Arabidopsis thaliana: one gene and its partners. The protein of the gene in region 1 interacts with the protein of each later gene in a pairwise test. Each region holds a gene or a part of one and is shown on either strand. Other genes may lie near its edges. The genes, in order: HSP81-3, AGO1 and RPP4.

What was found.
Region 2: the proteins of HSP81-3 (region 1) and AGO1 interact in a two-hybrid assay, tested with the Arabidopsis thaliana proteins (one study listed by BioGRID).
Region 3: the proteins of HSP81-3 (region 1) and RPP4 come close enough for resonance energy transfer, tested with the Arabidopsis thaliana proteins (one study listed by BioGRID).

Annotation. Positions count from the first base shown.
Region 1 is NC_003076.8:22,679,271-22,684,772, forward strand, and holds HSP81-3 (heat shock protein 81-3), read left to right. Parts: upstream 1-1,967; 5' UTR 1,968-2,139; coding exon 2,140-2,262; intron 2,263-2,565; coding exon 2,566-2,707; intron 2,708-2,806; coding exon 2,807-4,641; 3' UTR 4,642-4,982; downstream 4,983-5,502. Other genes in the region: Hsp81.4 (HEAT SHOCK PROTEIN 81.4), read right to left, coding at 1-166, 274-415, 675-797; AT5G56020 (Got1/Sft2-like vescicle transport protein family), read left to right, coding at 5,316-5,502. UniProt on the Arabidopsis thaliana protein: Functions as a holding molecular chaperone (holdase) which stabilizes unfolding protein intermediates and rapidly releases them in an active form once stress has abated.
Region 2 is NC_003070.9:17,886,549-17,894,660, reverse strand, and holds the start of AGO1 (Stabilizer of iron transporter SufD / Polynucleotidyl transferase), read left to right. Parts: upstream 1-2,064; 5' UTR 2,065-2,233; intron 2,234-2,760; 5' UTR 2,761-2,768; coding exon 2,769-3,404; intron 3,405-3,491; coding exon 3,492-3,700; intron 3,701-3,776; coding exon 3,777-3,926; intron 3,927-4,011; coding exon 4,012-4,151; intron 4,152-4,249; coding exon 4,250-4,359; intron 4,360-4,452; coding exon 4,453-4,559; intron 4,560-4,649; coding exon 4,650-4,788; intron 4,789-4,859; coding exon 4,860-4,976; intron 4,977-5,444; coding exon 5,445-5,552; intron 5,553-5,650; coding exon 5,651-5,722; intron 5,723-6,072; coding exon 6,073-6,195; intron 6,196-6,283; coding exon 6,284-6,446; intron 6,447-6,534; coding exon 6,535-6,794; intron 6,795-6,911; coding exon 6,912-7,054; intron 7,055-7,153; coding exon 7,154-7,216; intron 7,217-7,301; coding exon 7,302-7,365; intron 7,366-7,448; coding exon 7,449-7,584; intron 7,585-7,680; coding exon 7,681-7,754; intron 7,755-7,832; and 4 more.
Region 3 is NC_003075.7:9,489,741-9,497,533, forward strand, and holds the start of RPP4 (Disease resistance protein (TIR-NBS-LRR class) family), read right to left. Parts: upstream 6,098-7,793; 5' UTR 5,961-6,097; coding exon 5,491-5,960; intron 2,661-5,490; exon of another isoform or gene 2,333-2,660; coding exon 1,255-2,332; intron 1,072-1,254; coding exon 739-1,071; intron 639-738; coding exon 228-638; intron 112-227; coding exon 1-111. Other genes in the region: AT4G16880 (Leucine-rich repeat (LRR) family protein), read right to left, coding at 6,810-7,229, 7,368-7,409.

The DNA of each region.
Region 1 (5,502 bases):
TCGTCGTTGTGCTTGGTAGTAACAACAACCTTGTCAGCAACCAAGTAAGCAGAGTAGAAACCAACACCAAATTGACCAATCATGCTAACATCAGCTCCAGCAGCCAATGCCTCCATGAACTCCTTGGTACCAGACCTTGCAATTGTTCCAAGGTTGTTCACCAAATCTGTACAATAGAACAAACACGAATCAGCAAACACAAATCAAACACATAGATAATGGTTTTGAATGAAATCAAGTACAACTTGCTTTTGAATGAAATCAATTACGTACCAGCCTTGGTCATCCCAATACCACTATCGATAATGGTCAAGGTGTTGTTAGTCTTGTCCGGAATGATATGAATGAAAAGCTCAGGCTGACCATCGAGCTTGCTCTTATCCGTCAAGGACTCGAACCTAATCTTGTCCAAAGCCTGTTTCACCAGAATAAAAAGCTCAATCATAAGTAACAAAATACACACAACATATATACAATCAAAAACTAAGTAATCTAACAAATTTGAACATGAAAAGGTTCCATCAATTAACAAACGAAAATCTCAAATCGAAAAGAACACTAAACCCTAATAAAACCTAAATCTACACATAGATCCGTCAAATCAATCGAAGGAGATACACAAACACATTAAGCTTAAAGATAAACATAGAAAGACAGAGAGGGAGAGATCGTACATCGGAGGAGTTACTGATGAGTTCACGGAGGAAGATCTCCTTGTTGGAGTAAAAGGTATTGATGATGAGGGAAAGCAACTGGTTGATCTCAGCTTGGAAAGCAAAGGTCTCTGCGTCCGCCATTATCGTTGATCGGGAAAAAAATCTAAGAATTAGGGTTTATGTGAATCAAAAAGCAAATTCTTAAGAGAAGCAGAGAAGTATTGATGGTTTGATTAAGGGGGAAAAGTGTGTAATATATAGGGGATGTGGAAACAGACGTCATAATATAATGGAAATTGTAAAATATAAAAATTGTCATAATATTTTACTTTCCTTTTTTTTGGAACAAGTGCTACTTACTTTTTTTTTTTTTTTTTTTGTTAAATTTTTCTATTAGCTAAACTAATCAATAAAAACAATGTTTTTCTCCATATACAAAATTCGATTTTGTTATGGATTTGAATTTACAAGTTCCCATTCATTCTAGTTTATCTATGTTTAGATTTTTTTAGATCGGTCCTAGTTTTGGGTTATTTTTTGAAATCGATAAAGTTAATCCCTTAGTTTCAAGATATCTCAAAATTTTATTTCAAATTTTAGTTATGTATTTAATTTATAACAACAAGATAAATAGTTGTGTTAAAAAAAAAAAAAAAGTTTTAATCAATTCTGAAGTTAAAAAAAAAAAATCAATTTTTTCTCCCCACAAACCCCACGCTTTTTAGAGAATATGTGTTTCTTTTTGTTATTGTTTTAATTTATTTATTTTACAACTTTCAATATTATTATTTAATTATTGATTTTTTTGAAACTTTATTAAAAGATACACATACCAATCTGTAAACAGGAAAAAAAAAGTTGTAAGCAAAAAATAAAATTATTGCTTTGTTTTTAAAATAGTAAATTATCATCAATAAAATAAAATAGTAAATTACAAAATTAACAAAAAAGGAAACTAAAACCTGTTACAAAAAAGTAGTAAATTACACCTGTTCTGCAAAATAAAAAGGGAGTAGAATTAAATCTGACTGTTTTTTATAAATAGTAAATTATCATCAACCAATAAAATAAAATAGTAAATTACAAAATTTAACCAAAAAAAAAAAGAAGTAAACTAAAACCTGTTACAAAAAGTAGTAAATTACACCTGTTCTCCAAAATAAAATAAAAGGGAATAAAATTTTAAAAAATTTAATAAAGTTTTGTATTTTTCTACCAAAAAATAGTTTTGTATTTTGTAATTTCCATTTAATTATATTGCAGATTATGTGGACCTGAAAAGCAAATTAACATAAATCAAATAGGAAGGATCTAGAAACCCTTATAGGTTCCCAGTCCCCACACCACTATATATAATAACATCCTTCCCCAAAGTCTCGTATCAATCAACACTTCTCTGCTCTCTAAAGAAAATTTTGCTCTCTTTATCTCTCGATTTGATTCATAAACCCTAGCTCTTAGATTTTTTTTCCGATCAACGAGAATGGCGGACGCAGAAACCTTTGCTTTCCAAGCTGAGATCAACCAGTTGCTCTCCCTCATCATCAATACCTTTTACTCTAACAAGGAGATCTTCCTTCGTGAACTCATCAGTAACTCTTCTGATGTACGATCTCTATCTCTCTACACCTTATTTTATACTTGTCTGTCTCGTTTGATTGATCTGGCTGTTCGATCTGTAGATTTAGGATTGATTAGGGTTTAGTGTTCTAGCCGATTTTAGAATTTTGGTTGGTAATTGAAGTTGCGAAGCTGTTTGTGTTCAAATCTGTTGATTAGTTTTAGTGTTGATACCAACGATTAAGCAGACTCTTGTTAGATTTACAAAGTTTGCTTATATGTAATTTGTATATACGTTCTGTGTATTGGTTGGTTACTTACGATTGTGATTTTACTCTGGTGAAAACAGGCTTTGGACAAGATTAGGTTTGAGTCCTTGACAGACAAGAGCAAGCTCGATGGTCAGCCAGAGCTCTTCATTCACATCATTCCCGACAAGACTAACAACACCTTGACGATTATCGATAGTGGTATTGGGATGACCAAGGCTGGTACGTAATTGATTTCAGTCAAAAGCAATTTGTATTGGTTTTCGTTGATTATTTATGTGTTTGGTGTGTTGGCTAATACGTTTTTGTTTTATTTTTCAGATCTGGTGAACAACCTTGGAACAATTGCAAGATCTGGAACCAAAGAATTCATGGAGGCGTTGGCTGCTGGAGCTGATGTTAGCATGATTGGACAGTTTGGTGTTGGTTTCTACTCTGCTTACTTGGTTGCTGACAAGGTTGTTGTTACTACCAAGCACAATGACGATGAGCAGTACGTGTGGGAGTCTCAGGCCGGTGGATCTTTCACCGTCACCAGAGACACCTCTGGTGAGGCTCTTGGTAGAGGAACTAAGATGGTCCTTTACCTCAAGGAAGACCAGATGGAGTACATTGAGGAGCGAAGGCTTAAGGATTTGGTGAAGAAGCACTCTGAGTTCATCAGCTACCCAATCTCTCTCTGGATTGAGAAGACCATTGAGAAGGAGATCTCTGATGATGAAGAGGAGGAAGAGAAGAAGGATGAGGAAGGCAAGGTTGAGGAAGTTGATGAGGAGAAAGAAAAGGAGGAGAAGAAAAAGAAGAAGATTAAGGAGGTTTCTCATGAGTGGGATTTGGTGAACAAGCAGAAACCGATTTGGATGAGGAAGCCAGAGGAGATCAACAAGGAGGAGTACGCTGCTTTCTACAAGAGTTTGAGCAATGACTGGGAAGAGCATTTGGCTGTGAAGCATTTCTCAGTTGAAGGACAGCTTGAGTTCAAAGCTATCCTCTTTGTTCCCAAGAGAGCTCCTTTTGATCTCTTTGACACTAAGAAGAAGCCCAACAACATCAAGCTCTATGTCCGTCGTGTCTTCATCATGGACAACTGTGAAGACATCATTCCTGAGTACCTTGGGTTTGTCAAGGGTATTGTTGACTCTGAAGATCTTCCTCTCAACATCTCAAGAGAAACATTGCAGCAGAACAAGATCCTCAAGGTCATCCGCAAGAACCTTGTGAAGAAGTGTCTTGAGCTCTTCTTTGAGATTGCTGAGAACAAGGAGGACTACAACAAGTTCTATGAGGCTTTCTCTAAGAACCTGAAGCTCGGTATCCATGAGGACTCCCAAAACAGAACCAAGATTGCTGAGTTGCTCCGTTACCACTCAACCAAGAGCGGTGATGAATTGACCAGTCTCAAGGACTACGTGACAAGGATGAAGGAAGGTCAGAACGATATCTTCTATATCACTGGTGAGAGCAAGAAGGCTGTTGAGAACTCTCCATTCCTTGAGAAGCTCAAGAAGAAGGGTATTGAAGTTCTCTACATGGTTGACGCTATCGATGAGTATGCTATTGGTCAGCTCAAGGAATTCGAAGGAAAGAAGCTTGTCTCTGCAACCAAGGAAGGTCTGAAACTGGATGAGACTGAAGACGAGAAGAAGAAGAAAGAAGAGCTCAAGGAGAAGTTTGAGGGACTCTGCAAAGTGATCAAGGACGTTTTGGGAGACAAGGTTGAGAAGGTTATCGTCTCTGACCGTGTTGTGGACTCACCCTGCTGTCTTGTAACAGGCGAGTATGGCTGGACTGCAAACATGGAGAGGATCATGAAAGCTCAAGCCTTGAGAGACAGCAGCATGGGTGGCTACATGTCGAGCAAGAAGACAATGGAGATTAACCCAGAGAACTCCATCATGGATGAGCTGAGAAAGAGAGCTGATGCAGACAAGAACGACAAGTCTGTGAAGGACCTTGTACTTCTTCTCTTTGAGACCGCTCTTCTCACTTCTGGTTTCAGCCTCGATGAGCCCAACACTTTCGGGAGCAGGATTCACAGGATGTTGAAGCTTGGATTGAGCATTGATGACGATGATGTTGTTGAAGCCGATGCTGACATGCCTCCACTTGAAGATGATGCCGATGCTGAAGGTAGCAAGATGGAGGAAGTTGACTAAATTATCACACACAGTCGACTTAATCATTAGGGGTGTTGAGACATTGGTTATCTTTTTATCTTTTTTTTTTATGTTTTCGTTTGAACTAATATTTTGGAACTATTTTCTGGAGTTTATTTCTTCTATCGCTTGTTTTCGTGAAGATTTTTTCTCTGAATTCGGTTTGATGACAAAGGTTCTCTTATGCACAATCTTGCAAATCCAAGCTTATTTTGGTTATGTAGCCTATAACTAAGTTATTAGTATGACTAATATGGCTAATAAAATACATGAAGCAGCTCCAAATCATATTGTTAAGCATCTCAGACAACACAGCTTACATATTCTTTACAATAATAAATAATTTATTGTTCGACATAATACTGTTGTTACTGTTTGACTTAGCGTTAATTTTCTGCACAAATGTTGTTACTACTTTGATTAAAAAGGATAATTTGTGTAACAATTTTTTGGTCAGTTTTAAAGGTTATTATTATTTTTTTAAATAACTTTTACGATTAGAATATGAGTAGTGCAACGCAAAATAACACTGCCGTTTAAGACGACGGTCCCTTGACAGAATCTTCATCAACGCTCGATTTGACGTCTGCCGATTTCCTTAGCTCCGACGTAAACCACTGATCGTCGGTATTCAGCTATATTTTGATTTCTCAGCTCCAAAAATTCCCAACGAAATGGAGAAAATGGCCAAAGGATGGTTTCCGATGAGCGGCACTAGTAGCAGCGGAGATCAGCAGCAGCAACCGCTGCAAACAGGAGGAACGTCTCTGCTAGCTGATTGGAATTCTTACGCAGCATCGAGAGATTTTGAAGAAGACACCGGAACTTTAGGCTTCGATATCGAATCCGCCGTTAGATCTG
Region 2 (8,112 bases), on another chromosome or scaffold:
TAGATTTCGAAGGCATAATAACTCTCTAAAATAATTGAGAATTGGATAATATCCGATGATTAAGATAGCATTTACTTACAAGTAATGTTTTCGATAGAATTAATGGTCACTATCCAAATTCCAAACCATACGCTAATGGCTTCCAAAGGAAAACTAAGACTTTATGGAGTTTTACATAAAGTCTTCGTTCAAACATCATTTTCATAAGTCTTTTGTAACTTTCTTCCTCTTAACGGCTTCCTACAATATCTCGATTTAGAACTCCAATCAACATCTAATATTTTGTCTACAACTTTATGTTTTTTCACCTTACTATATGATCTAGACAATCTTTTGTTAGGTAAAGTGTCTAGATATTCTTTCACCTAATTAACACGGAAACGTAAACTTGTACAAAAACATCTATTGATTATAGAAGAGAACCGAGCCGTGAGAGTCGTTTCTCGTCAAGACCGCACCAATCGACTCAAACATGAGCCAAACTGTACGTAGTTCTTATAAGGAACACAAACCTCCATCGTAAACCAACGTTTTCGATCGGTTCTAGCTAGACTCGCCATGCATGCATGTGCGTTGGTGCCCGTAATTACGTACACCAATCTTGATTGATATCAATGCTTATATGCCGTTAATCTTCATCTCGACTCTCGAGGTAGTAGTACTTGACGAGTTCTAAGTTCTTCTTCCGTTATGAGAAATCATATATAAGTTCTTCTATACATCTCGCTTGATTATTATAATCTTTCGCCTTTTAATTTCTCGTTTGATTATTATAATTAATGTTTATAATGAAAAGAATCATTATTTCCCAAAGCAAACGAATCATTTTGAGATAGACTTACAGTTATCACAAAAAGAAATCTAAACGTTTTCCCCAAGATTTAGCCTTTCGTCAGCATGTAATTACTCGTGACATATTCTCTAGCTCATATTTCTTCTTCACGCACGAGCAACCAATTTTGTTATATATGTATAAATCATCTTTGACAATTATATATAATACAGATTTGTTACGAGTATATGAATTTTTTTGAGGTACAGAAGCAAATCAACTAGTGAAACTAAATTAAAGAGCTAACCATCAAATAAAGTAAATTGAATTAAACAAACAAATCATACCACGTGATGACAGCCACCACATTCCTAAAGTTAGAAAATTGGCAAACCTGTAAAAAAGCATCACTTCCCCGAAATCGCAGGTCATATTTCTATGAAAACGAAAGAGAGTTATCTATATAGTAAATGGCTATATTCATATTTGCCCCACCACCCATGACCCATCTCAGTTAATAAATAGTTCTTCTATTCACCTCTATACTATAATCATTCACTTTATCTTATATATAGTCTATAAAACTAAACGTAATTCGCATGATTTTGCCTTTCGTTGCATGAAAAATCCTCCTTGACAATGTACAATTCGTTAGTACTACTCGATCAGTCGCCTTGACTCACGACATTTTCTCTAGCCACTGTTTTATCTTCACACACAAGTACCAATTTTAAACTGTTGTACTTAACTGTATAACATCCTTTATACGTAACGTAAGCCAAAAATTATGATCTAATCAGTTACTACAGATTAATAATAAGATTAATAACGGCCGGTCTACTAATTTTGAACACTTGTGCATGCATTATCTCTCGTTGAAATAGTAAATTAATGCAACTAACTTTACAAGATTAATCGAGGTATATTATAGTCTAAAACAAATATTTAAATTAATGCAACTAACTCTTGAAGATTAATCGAGGTAACGCATCACACTAATCATATTTAATCGGATAATACATATACTGTTAGTAAAATAAATTAAAAAAGATTTGGTAGATAAACGACAAAAATGTTTTTCGTCTTGTTGTTTTCGAGAAGCTTCTTTTTCCGGATTAAAAAAACATTATGCAATTCCACGTCATCAGCGCATTACAAACAATGAAAGACTACACACGACCTTGGGTCAGCATTCCAAAGACCCAACCCTGACTCGCCACGTCGACATATGCCAGCTATTAATGAAGAGGGTAATTCCGTAACTTACTCTAACCACAGAACCCTTGAATTTAAAGTGTAGCAGTAAAATCTCATTTCTTTGAGTTATCTCGTTTGTTCGGAGTTAGAGAGAGAGAGAAAGATATAGAGAGAACACAGAGAGGCGAGAGCGACGTAGGGTTGGTGTTTCGTACGGATTTTCTCGGTCAATCTTAGTTTCTCCGGCGAGAGATTGCTTTTCAGGTAAAAATGGCGGCGGTTTTGGTGTTTGTTCTTCACTTAATCTGTGTTCGATCTGCGTATGAACTCGATTTTTCCACTCGATTGGGTGGATCCGCTTCGTTTTGGTGTTATGGTTCACTGATAGTGTTGTATGTTTAGTTGATCTTTGCGATTTCGGATCTATTAGCTTCGTAGCTGTTTTGGTGTGTGTGTTCGTCTTCGAAGATATTTAGGTTTTTTTTTTTTGTTGCTTCAAATTTCTTACTGTTTCGTGCTTGTTTTCTTACTTCGTTTTCTGTTTAGGTCTTTGATTGTTTCTTACTAGGTTTTCTATGTTTGCTTTGGGCTGTTGAATTTGGTTTTCTATCTCTCTAGCTAATCACTGGTTTTCGTGCTTCTGAGTCGTTTGTTTTTGAAGCTAGTTAGGGTTTTCTTCTGTTGCTTCTATATTTCGATAGTTTTGTGCTTGTTTTCAATGTTTGCTTCTTATTTTCAAGGATAATTTTAAAATGACCCACTGTTTTTGGGTGGTTGTGTTATTTTCACAGGAATCATCATGGTGAGAAAGAGAAGAACGGATGCTCCATCTGAAGGAGGTGAAGGCTCTGGGTCTCGTGAAGCTGGTCCAGTCTCAGGTGGTGGACGTGGTTCACAGCGAGGTGGTTTCCAGCAGGGAGGAGGACAACACCAAGGTGGAAGGGGTTATACTCCTCAACCTCAACAGGGAGGTCGTGGTGGTCGTGGATATGGGCAACCACCACAACAGCAACAACAGTATGGAGGACCACAAGAGTACCAAGGAAGAGGAAGAGGAGGACCTCCTCATCAAGGAGGTCGAGGAGGGTATGGCGGTGGCCGTGGAGGTGGACCTTCTTCTGGACCACCGCAGAGACAATCAGTTCCCGAGCTGCATCAAGCTACCTCACCTACTTATCAAGCGGTGTCTTCTCAGCCTACACTGTCTGAGGTGAGTCCTACCCAGGTACCAGAACCTACTGTTCTGGCTCAGCAATTTGAACAACTCTCTGTTGAACAAGGAGCTCCCAGTCAGGCAATCCAGCCTATACCTTCTTCTAGCAAGGCTTTCAAGTTTCCAATGAGGCCTGGTAAAGGACAGAGTGGAAAGCGTTGCATTGTGAAGGCTAACCATTTCTTTGCTGAACTGCCTGATAAGGATTTGCACCATTATGATGTGAGTTTTGTGTTCCCTTAGTATTAGCTACCATACATCTAATGTCTATTTATAAATTTACCTGACCAACTGTGTTCTTTCTGTTAGGTTACCATTACTCCGGAAGTTACATCAAGGGGTGTCAATCGTGCTGTGATGAAACAACTTGTTGATAATTATCGTGATTCTCACCTTGGAAGTCGTCTTCCAGCGTATGATGGTCGAAAAAGTCTTTACACTGCTGGTCCACTTCCCTTTAACTCCAAGGAGTTCAGAATCAATCTTCTTGACGAAGAAGTAGGGGCTGGAGGTCAAAGGTCTAGTTCTTATGGTTTCTTGTTGATTTTTTTAATAAGGAAGTTTCAGAATAATAACATCTTTCCTATTTTACAGACGAGAAAGGGAATTTAAAGTTGTGATCAAGCTAGTTGCACGTGCTGATCTGCATCACCTAGGAATGTTTTTGGAGGGGAAACAATCAGATGCCCCACAGGAAGCTCTGCAGGTTCTTGACATTGTTCTTCGTGAGCTGCCGACCTCTAGGTACTGGTTACTCATCCTATGGATGTTTGCTTCTTTACTACCATGCTTGTAAGTCTCAGCTGGTTTAGTTTTGCTAACATGTTAGAATCAGGTATATTCCGGTGGGCCGGTCCTTTTATTCCCCTGATATAGGAAAAAAACAATCATTGGGGGATGGCTTGGAGAGCTGGCGTGGATTCTACCAAAGCATTCGTCCTACACAGATGGGCTTATCACTCAATATTGGTGTGATGGCTTGCTGTATTACATTCAATAATTTTTGATATCTGGTTCTCCTTGAATGTTTAACTCATGGTTGTGCTGCAATTTTGTCTGTTTTGTAGATATGTCATCGACAGCCTTCATAGAGGCAAACCCTGTGATTCAGTTTGTCTGTGATTTGCTTAACCGGGATATTTCTTCTCGACCTTTATCTGATGCTGATCGTGTTAAGGTATGAATCAATTGTCATTTTCTGTAGTAAGTGAAATGTTGTATTAATCTACTCTTCTTTGCTTAGTGACTTGGAATCTTCTTCTGTCAACAGATAAAAAAGGCTCTTAGAGGTGTCAAAGTTGAAGTGACTCATCGAGGAAACATGCGCCGGAAGTACCGCATTTCCGGTTTGACTGCTGTGGCCACTCGGGAATTGACGTGCGTATTTGTTTTAGATTTACTACTCTTATTTCGCGAATGTTGAACTTGATGAAATTAATTTTTACTCTCTGTTTTTATCCTTTTCAGATTCCCAGTAGATGAAAGAAATACTCAGAAATCTGTTGTAGAATACTTCCACGAAACATATGGTTTTCGCATTCAGCACACTCAACTACCATGCTTGCAAGTTGGGAATTCTAATAGGCCTAATTACTTACCAATGGAGGTAACTTTGAAATACGTCATCAGGTTTTATTAGCTCACCAGTACTTCCGATTCTAATGTGTTGCTGCACAGGTATGCAAGATTGTTGAAGGCCAGCGGTATTCCAAAAGATTGAATGAGAGACAGATCACTGCTTTGCTGAAGGTTACCTGTCAGCGCCCGATAGATCGAGAAAAAGATATCTTACAGGTATGTTTCTTTATTTTCGATAACTTTGTTTTCCTTCACTTGAATCAAGAGTATCTTTTTGTCCGCCTATCTTGATAGTCGTTTTAAATAATGTATGCTGGTGATAAAGCCTCATTGTGGAATAGATCATTGTAAAATCTGTTTATTCTTACTTGGTTGCATGTGTTTACTTGAAGTAAGTGATTTTCTCAATTCATATCTAACTTGTTTTTAATCATATAAACTTGTGGCTGAAAGGATGTTATGGAATGAATGGCTTAAAAACCTGTTTCTTCTTTACTTGGATGCATATGTTTGCTTGAAGAGAGTGATTTACCTTGAGATGATGCCTTTACTTCATAAATAGTGAGGCAGATTACCATCTTCAGAGTTGTGCTCTTAATTTAGCAGCGCGTGTGTCTTCTGGCTGCTGTTGTTGAAAACTCAATTGTTTATTGCTAACATTATACAATATTTTCTGATTTCTAGACGGTGCAACTCAATGATTATGCTAAAGATAATTATGCTCAAGAGTTTGGCATCAAAATAAGTACTTCTCTGGCTTCTGTTGAGGCTCGTATACTGCCTCCTCCATGGGTATAGTAATCGTTCCCATTGTCTCTTTGCTATTACACTTTTTCTCTGTATCTTAATGACTCAAATTAGGGTTCCAATCTGATTTTAATGTTCTGCAGCTTAAGTACCACGAGTCTGGAAGGGAAGGGACTTGTCTGCCACAAGTTGGTCAATGGAACATGATGAATAAGGTAACTAGACGAAAATGTTCCTGGTTTTCAACTATGCACTTACATGTTTCTTGCTTGTGTTACCTATATATACCTATGCTGTCATTTTTATGTGAATATTTTGTAAATCATGGCTGAGCTGTATATTTCCAGGTAATTGGCAAGAAAATTGTTTATTTATTTGTCTGTTATGAGACATATTACTCTAAAATGCTATTCTCTTGATATGAGTATGGGTGTGGCACTTGACTAGTTGCAGAGAGTATTTTGTTCATGTAGCTATGTAGATACACACTGAATTTGTCTTTGTTATTTTTTGAAAGTGATCACAACGTTTTCTGTTGTCTGGCTAATATGAGTCTTCTCTGCAGAAAATGATCAATGGTGGAACGGTGAATAATTGGATCTGCATCAACTTTTCTAGGCAAGTGCAGGACAATCTAGCGCGTACATTTTGTCAGGAACTTGCTCAAATGTGTTACGTATCTGGCATGGTGAGTCTTTGGAAGCACAAACTTGATCAGTTTATTAACCTTTCCTACACTGATTCCTTCCCTTTAATTTTTTATTTCTTACCTGCAGGCATTTAATCCGGAACCAGTCCTCCCACCAGTCAGTGCTCGCCCTGAGCAAGTAGAGAAGGTCTTGAAGACTAGATATCATGATGCCACATCAAAACTCTCCCAAGGAAAAGAAATTGATCTGCTTATTGTCATTCTGCCCGATAATAATGGATCATTATACGGTATGAGCCATGGTCTCGGATGTTTCATTGTCTACTTCTGCTTAGGAACACACTCTCAACTTATTTTCCTTAATAATATCCATTGCAGGTGATTTGAAACGCATATGTGAGACTGAACTCGGCATAGTCTCTCAATGTTGCCTGACAAAGCATGTCTTTAAGATGAGCAAACAATACATGGCTAATGTTGCGCTGAAGATTAATGTGAAGGTTGGAGGAAGAAACACAGTGCTTGTTGATGCTCTATCTAGGCGGATTCCTCTAGTCAGTGATCGACCCACCATTATATTTGGTGCTGATGTTACCCACCCTCACCCTGGAGAGGATTCAAGCCCATCTATTGCTGCTGTAAGTTAGCTTCTCCTTTAAGATCTACTTCTGTATATGGATGCTTTTGTTTATTTTCATGGCCTTAACCTTTTCAAATTGTGCTTGTTTTGTTGACAACGAAATTTTTGTTTTCAGGTTGTGGCATCTCAGGATTGGCCTGAAATCACTAAATATGCTGGATTAGTTTGCGCTCAAGCGCATAGGCAGGAGCTCATTCAGGATCTGTTCAAAGAGTGGAAGGATCCTCAGAAAGGTGTGGTGACTGGTGGCATGATAAAGTACGTGTGGATGTTATTTAATATTTTCGTGATTGGGTTTTAGCTTTAGCTTGCTCTTAAGTAACAGATCTGTACGTTTCTCCCCTTACTTTTGAACAGGGAGTTGCTCATAGCCTTCCGTAGATCAACTGGGCATAAACCACTAAGGATCATCTTCTACAGGTATTAACTCTTCTTATGGCACTTACTTGACTAAATAACTTTCTGTCTTTCTTTCTGAAATGTATTATATGGTTATTCTGCACAGGGATGGAGTCAGTGAGGGACAATTTTACCAAGTTTTGCTCTATGAACTTGATGCCATCCGCAAGGTAACAGTTACTTCTAACAAATGGCTTGTGTTGCGTGCTCGTTTTCTTCTGTTTAATCTGATTATTATTTCAACTCATTTCAGGCCTGTGCTTCGCTGGAAGCAGGTTATCAACCACCAGTGACATTTGTGGTGGTGCAGAAGCGTCATCACACGAGGCTGTTTGCTCAGAACCACAATGATCGCCATTCGGTGGACAGAAGTGGGAATATTTTACCTGGTGAGACAAGTTTGGATCTTTGTCAAGCTTTTTGTGCGTAGACCTAATCAGCTGAAAATCCCTTGCATTGGTTTTTAACCCCTTTGTTAATTGTAGGCACTGTTGTGGACTCTAAAATCTGCCACCCTACAGAGTTTGACTTTTACCTCTGTAGTCATGCTGGTATTCAGGTATAATTTACAATCTCAAATGAGTTTGTGGGTGAGAATTTATTTGAAGTGTTTAACAAATCAAAACTCCATTAACAGGGCACTTCTCGACCTGCTCATTACCACGTTCTTTGGGATGAGAACAACTTTACTGCAGATGGACTTCAATCTCTGACCAATAACTTATGTTACACGTAAGATTTCTTACCTTTGTAACATATTCCTTGTTACAAGTGTTTGCAAGATTGCAAGGAAAATAAGAGTAACATTTAAACTACCTTTTTGATTTGTACAGGTATGCAAGATGCACACGCTCAGTTTCAATTGGTAAGTTTTGTGTTTCCCATCCCTTAATGTCATCTTGATTTTGATATAAAGA
Region 3 (7,793 bases), on another chromosome or scaffold:
TTCGCATCCAAAAAGATATAGTCTCTCCAGGTTTATGGCTAAAGAAAGATCTGGAATTTCTTTCAAATATTTGGAACCATGCAGATACATCTCCTTGAGGCTTCCAAGTGGCTGATAACAAAATAGGGGAAAAGAGAGTACACGCGTTAATGAATATTTTAAACAGATTCATTTTTGTTTTTCTAACATATTTATGTTTAGAAATTGATCACTAATAGAATTAGTACCTGAGTTCCATCCCACAGCTTCTCAAGGTCACTATTCTCCATTCTGAGTTCAACTAGATACTCAGCCTTAAAATTAGAAGGCAAACGCTTCACTGGACAATAATCCCACCATAGCCTTTTGAGTTTACGTGGCAAGTAAATGAGGCCTTGAGTGCCTTCCATACTTGACCAATCAACTGATAGATATTCGAGATTACACATGCCTTCTAATGATTTTAAATCTATTAATAGCACCCCCGAACAATATAACGTCCTCAGTTTAATGGCATTCTGAATCGAGGAAGGAAGTGTCACCAAAGATTCGCATTTAGAAAGATTTAATTCCTCGAGGTTTATGGCTAAAGAAAGATCTGGAATTTCTTTCAAATTGTTGGAACACCCCAAATCCATCTTCTTGAGACTTCCAAGGGGCTGAAAACAAAATATGGAAAAAGAGAATACACACGTTCACAAATATACCACAATTTTCTGTTCTAAAAACTGACAACTAATAAAAATTTAGAATTCGTACCAGAGTTCCTTCCCACAGTTTCTCAAGCTTACTATACTTCATTATGAGGTTAACTAGATATTCCGCCTTAAAAGTAGATGGCAAAGACTTCAATGGACAATAATTCCATTTTAGCAATTTGAGTTTAAGGGGCAAATAAACGAGGCCCTGAGGTAGATCTATTTTTGACCAAAGACCAATTTCTGACCAAAGACCAATTTCTGACCAATGACCAATTTCTAGATATTGGAGATTACGCATGCCTTTGAACGATTCTTCGTTTATTACTAATAACGGCCTTGTCGAAAATAATACCGTGGGTGGCACACGTATTCCAAGAACAGTTTCTGTCCCCTGAAAAAAAATCCAAAGAAAACTAATATAATCTTAACAATCGCAACCCTTTTTATTTTTCTGACACATCAAAACTACGTTTTAATTACGCATGAGGCAACAATTGCTTAAGTTTATCAATCCCCAAATTACGATTATATTAATATAAAGTCATGCATTCAAACGGAGCTGCGAAAAACTTACAGTTTTCTCGGTCACTACTTCTTGAATATCCTCAAAATTCGTCAGAAATTGACGTTTTGCAGGATTACCCTTGGACTTTGCACGATCAATTTCTCTACCCAATTTCTCTAGCAAATTGTGCATCTCTATATCTCCATCCGGTGTAATACGTATGAGGGACTTATCAGCCAACATTGTAAGCCCAACATCATCTTCAAGTAATTCTTTGACGTTACTGACTTTAAAACCATTGAAAAAACATGCAATGCACTTAAATAACTCTCTATTTTTTTTATTTAACCTATCGTAGCCGACTCTTAGTGTTTCCTCAATTTTATCATCTGAATCATTTCGAAGCCTAGGCATCATCTTCACCCACTCATCTTTGTCCCTTCCTTTTAAAGATGAACCCAAGACACTGAGACCCAAAGGAAGACTACCGACAAGCTCGGCAACTTCAAATGCTAGTTCCTTAAAATCATCAGGTGGAGAGTCTTTCCCAAAAGCATATTGGGATATCATCTTAAGAGCAAGACCTTGAGATGGCAGCTCCACCTCATATACAAGGTCAATCTCATGAGCCTTGAGAAGTTGCTTATCTTGAGTGATCACAATTATTCTGCTTCCAGAACCAAACCATTCAGCTTTTCCCACCAAGGTCTTAAGAAACTCTAGATTATCCACATCATCAAGAAGGATAAGAACTTTCTTGTGCTTTAACCTTTGCTCCACCACACCAAAATGATCTATCTTTATGTCCTTTTGACCTAAGATTTCCGAGAGAAGTTCTTTTTCCCAACTCAACTTCATGCCAGAGACGTCACTACCACTGGTGCTTTTATAAGTTATGAAAGCGCGATGGTGGAACTGGCTAGAGAGTTGACTGAAAAGAGCTCTTCCTATGGTACTCTTACCAATCCCTGACTGTCCCCAAATCCCGACCATTATTCTAGCTTCCTTGGATTCCAAGCAAAGTATTGATTTTATTGCCTTTATATGATCTTCAATTCCGACGAAGTCACCAAAACCCTTTGGCAGAGGAAAAAGTTTATTCGAAACATCATTGGCTATCTTTTTAACCATAAACGCTTCAGTAGGCCTAATAACAATAGTCAATTGTGTCAATAGAGAGGCACCCTTAAAAGCACAATCGAAGATTCGAAGTCAACGCAAGAAAAAAAAACCCAGTCTTATATAATAAAGTAAGGTTTTCTCGAAGTCATGCTCTGAGAATTTGATAAGTCGCACTCTATTCTTTCGATATGTGTAATTTTTTTAATTTTTATTGCTTCCAAAACTGAAATATACCATAATCATTTTGCATTAAATTTAATTATAAAATATTTTGTTTTTGAAAAAATATAAGTAAGAAATTTTAAATTTATTTCTAAATTAATTTTGTTTTACTTTCAATCATTAAAAGCAAATATCAAAGATTATTTTCATGATATATAACATATTTTCCTACAGTTTATTCAAAAAATGAATTTAGCATAAACAATGAATAAATAATTTATTCTAATTTTCAAAACAATGAAAATAGAATAAATATTAATTCTAATTTTATTATTTGATGATGTATCATTTATCAATATATAAATAATACAGATGCATTAAAATATGATTTGTCTTTTTATTTTCTCTCATTTTATAATATAATATTTACACATGCTTTTATTAAATTATTTACTATAAATATTATCATACCTATCTTACTTTGGGATTGTCTTTTAATAATTTTTAATATTTAAATATTTAAATAATAGAATTGCTTTTAAAAATATGATTTCATAAGAAAATAAATTTGAAATAAATGTAAAACTAACCTCATTAAAAAAGACTCAAATGACTAAAATCAATGAAATGTAAAGTAAACACCAATGAGAAAAAGAAAATTAGGGTGATTGAGTGTCTCATGTAACGTTTTAAAAAAAAAAAAATTGTTACTCATGTAACGTTTGTGTTGCAAACGTTTTTGAACCAATTATTAACATTTATGCTGGAAATAAACACATGAATTAGTTATACCCTAAATATCTACTTTTCTGATATAAATAGCAAATATATATACTATTTTTTATCACACACAAGTATTTTTATTTCCTTTAACAATTGACGAAAAATGGAAGATGGCTTGCGGTATTAACAACGTTTACGGCAAGAGTCCCTGTCTTTCAATTTCTCTCCTTCATTTAAGGTTTGGACTCGTATTAGCTCTCAGATTTCGTTTTCTTTTTAAGTTTTTGTGAATGATTTCATATTGTTTAATGTTTCTAAAATGGTTATATTGAATCTTACTTACATGTGTTTTTTTCCTGTTTTTTTTTGTTCTGAATTTAATTCAAGATATTTTTGCATCTTTTAGAAAAAGTTTTTTTTTTTGTTTTGTAGGCATCAAATGCACTTTAAACCATTTAAATGGATATAAGATAAGAAGCTAGCAGACTATGGATAGCATAGTCAATTGCAAGAGAAAGTAAGGATCAAGGTTTTGATCATTCATAAAATACAAAATTTGATGCAAGTGATTTAGTTAATCTCGATTAATGGTGGAGCGATAACAATAGGTATGACCATACTAATTATATAACTATTTATTTCTCTTTCCAACTTAAATATTTCGAGTTAAATTTTAGTATAATATTTTTTATTTTTGTTAATAAAATTAAATTCTAATTATATGTAGTTTCTGTTTATAATGTTTTGAATTTTAAAATGAGAATTATAATTTGTTCACCCAATATTTCTATAAATAGTTACCAAATTTTGTTGACATATATGTTCTTTAAAACAACATTTCAGTAATTTTGTTCAATCTCATCTTACTCTACATCAATTTGCGTTGGCATCCAAATTGACAAAAAAAAAAACTTAAAATTGTGTTCATTTTTTAGCATAAGGAAGCTCAATTCTCAGCCTCTAAAGAAAACATGATCAACATTAGTTCACTCATATGAGGAAAATTGTTTAATCTTTTTCTATCATTACTTATATTTAATGACTTTTCCAATAATTGTTTTCAAACCTATAAGTCAAAATATTGAAAGACTCATAATACAAATAACAAAAATCTATGCCTATAATACACATTAAAAGTTATATTTAGGACCAAATAATTCATAATAAAAGACTCTATTATATATAATGAAGCAAAACAAAATTAAATTCTTTTATATGAGTGACATATTGAAATGATTTAGGATTTTTATTTTTCAAGTTTATCTTTTCTTAAATTTTAAGATTTTTTATATGAGAGTATTTGAGAAGCCATCATGTGCGACCTTTTATCTATATCCTTAATTATATTTGAAATTTAGGTTTAATTATATATTATATCAAGACAAAATAAAATGTGTCTTACGAAATATGAGACAAAATGTTTTATATATTTTGGGTAAACTGTTAATTTCAGTAAAGCAAGATTTATAAAAAGGATAATGATGTTTAAAAAAATAACTTTTTATACAATAGCGCATTAGATCAATGTCGAGTGGTGTGCTTGAAATACGGTTTATTATACCTAGGACGAATTTGTTGAGTCTCTTAAAAAGGGCATTGGTTTGTTTGTAAAGAAAGTGTAATAGCTTGATAAAATCTTGCATTTCTCTCAAACAATAGATGATGATGATGATGTGAAACAATGAAAGTGTGTAATTTAGAAGTTAGGAGATCATTTTAGTTTTTTCAATAACATAAAGGTCGTCAGTTGATTTTGAAAATCAGGACTTACCAATATATCAATTTTGTCGATTAAAAAACCAAATCTTGAGTAGATATTATTTATTGTGAAAGTAAAAATGTAATATGTCATATTGACATGCTAATTGAAACTTTAATTATATATTTATTAATAAATTATTTTACACCACATGAATTCATATAAATTATAACAAAAGAAAAACAAATTTAATGAGTTCAAAATCAACAAAACATATAACACTTATTTCAAGCTACCCATATTGTAGATGCTAATATAATTATATTCCATAATGAAATTGAAATTTTTATTCAAAACAAAATTAATTTGCTCTCTTTAACTGAGAGTAATTCCAAATATTTTTTGAAAGCTTTATAAACAACTAATTTATGTAATATGATATACACAATAAAAAATTTGTTTTTAAATAGCTAAAAATATTTCATTATGTAAATTTTAAAATTATTTCATATTTTATATTAATTTTAAACCCACGCACATTTTCTAGTTTTGCAATAATTATAAACACTCATAGAAATAGTGGAATAAATAAAACATACCCGTTCCGAAGATCCTCCCCGGCTAAATTTGATATATCTGTGAGAGCTTTAACCCATCTTTGTTTCTGATCCTCTGGTTTGTCCTCGCATGTCTTTTTAAAGACATCGCCAAAGCCACCGATCTGTTTTCTAACATGAGAAGGATCAACGCCGTAGAAAACCGGAATCACCATTTGTTCCCCTTTCTTGTAACACTTGTGGATCTCCACCAATTCATTCAAGCACCACGTTGAAGAAGCATAGTTCTCAGAGAAGATGACTATTGAGATCCTCGCTTCTCTAATGGCCGTTATAAGCGCATCGGCGATTATGCAGCTTCTCACGATGCCGTGATCCATGAATGTATTGATTGATCTGCGGTCGAGCGCCTCGATTAGATGGCTGAGGAACGTTTTGCGAACATCTACCCCACTGAAGCTTGGGAAAACGTCGTATCTCCGGCTACTAGGAGAAGAAGAAGAAGAAGCCATGGGAGACGATAGAGGGAACTCAGAGAAGAGACGAAGATTTTTAAGAGAAGTAAATCAGCAAGACATAGTGTGAGAAAGAGAGGAGAAACTTCGTCTTCCTTCCCTCCAAGACTTGCATAGAAGACTTACTGTACAAGATATTCTTTTAAGTGGCTAAAATCAAATCTCCTAACAAGACAATTGAGACGTAAATAATAAAGAAACTCGGCCCTTCCTTTCCTCGAAAGCTTTTTTACACTACATACAAAGATATTTTTGAAGATTGAATTTTTGTGGTTGTCACTGAATTATGATAAGTCTTAGTCTTTGTACAAGACAGAAATAATATTTCAATTTCTAGGCAAGTAGACAGAAACTTACATTCGTTTCCTCTACAAAGATATTTTGAAAACACAAATTTTGTGGTTATCAGTTGTCCTTGTATATAATGAAAGAATATGCGGAATTGTAGCAAAGAGTAAGAGAATTATGAAGAACAAGAGAGTTGGTATATGAGTGAGAATGACCAAATCATATTGATAGAATTAGTTAGTAACCTTTGTGTGTTTACAATGTATTTAAAGACACACAAAGGGAATATGACCGTTTACAATTAACGTAAGACTGAAAGAGACATGAGAGAAGAGGTTCCTTGGTCTTGATGGTGAGAGCGACTGGTCCTTGGTTGACCATGTCGCTAAAGACACTCGTGAGTCCTCTTCAACGGCTACAAGAGATATTTGTGCGCCTTCACTCTTTCTAGAAGCTCTCCATAGACTTCTCATGTGTTCGGCCCAACTCCTTGTAGCACATACCCAATACTAGGCCTTTCTCCTTATTTGTACGGATGAATCTCTTATTGAATCTTGATCAATATATAATATACGTATGAATTACCTGGACGCCTTCCCATAGCTTCTCAAGCTTGTTGTTACATCTCACTGTGAGGTCTTTGAGATGTTCTGGGCGAAATTTACTTGGATTACATCTCCTAAGGCAATCAAGATAACCGAGTCCAGGGAGATTCTTGTTCCATAAACAATCTGCTACCTCGATGTCAATTTCTCCTCTGAAACTGTGCATAATAATCTCAGGGAAATTTCTCAACTTGGGGCATCGTAGGAGATTGAGGTACTCAAGAGATTCCGAGTTGAGAGGAGTTGGAAAACTTTCTAGCACTTCGCATTTACAAAGATCTAGTCTCTCGAGGTTTGTGGCTAAAGAAAGATCTGGAATTTCTTTCAAATATTTGGAATTACGCAGAATCATCTTCTTTAGGCTTCCAAGTAACTGAAAACAAGGAAAGAGAGAATAACAGACGTTCGTAAACATTTCAAAAAATTCATTTAATTTTTTGAACAAATAAATCAATAAACATAACACATTTCTGTTTTCAAATTGACAACAAAAACAATAAAAAATTAGTACCTGAGTTCCATTCCACAGCTTCTCAAGGTCACTATCCTCCATTATGAGTTCAACCAGATACTCAGCCTTAAAATTAGAAGGCAAACGCTTCAATGGACAATAACGCCACCATAGGCATATGATGTTACTTGAAATCTGAGGGAAAAATCTCAAACTTGAGCTTCCATCACTATAATCCTGAGATGGAGACACATTCAAGAGATATTTTTGAAGATTGAATTTTTGTGGTTGTCACTGAATTATGATAAGTCTTTGTACAAGACAGAAATAATATTTCAAGTTCTAGGCAATTAGACAGAAACTTACGTTATTCGTTTCCTCTACACAGATATTTTGAAACACACAAATTTTGTGGTTGTCAGTTGTCCTTGTACAAGACAGTTTATCGTAAGAATGTACTTATGATTGTTTAATATCAAAGTCTTG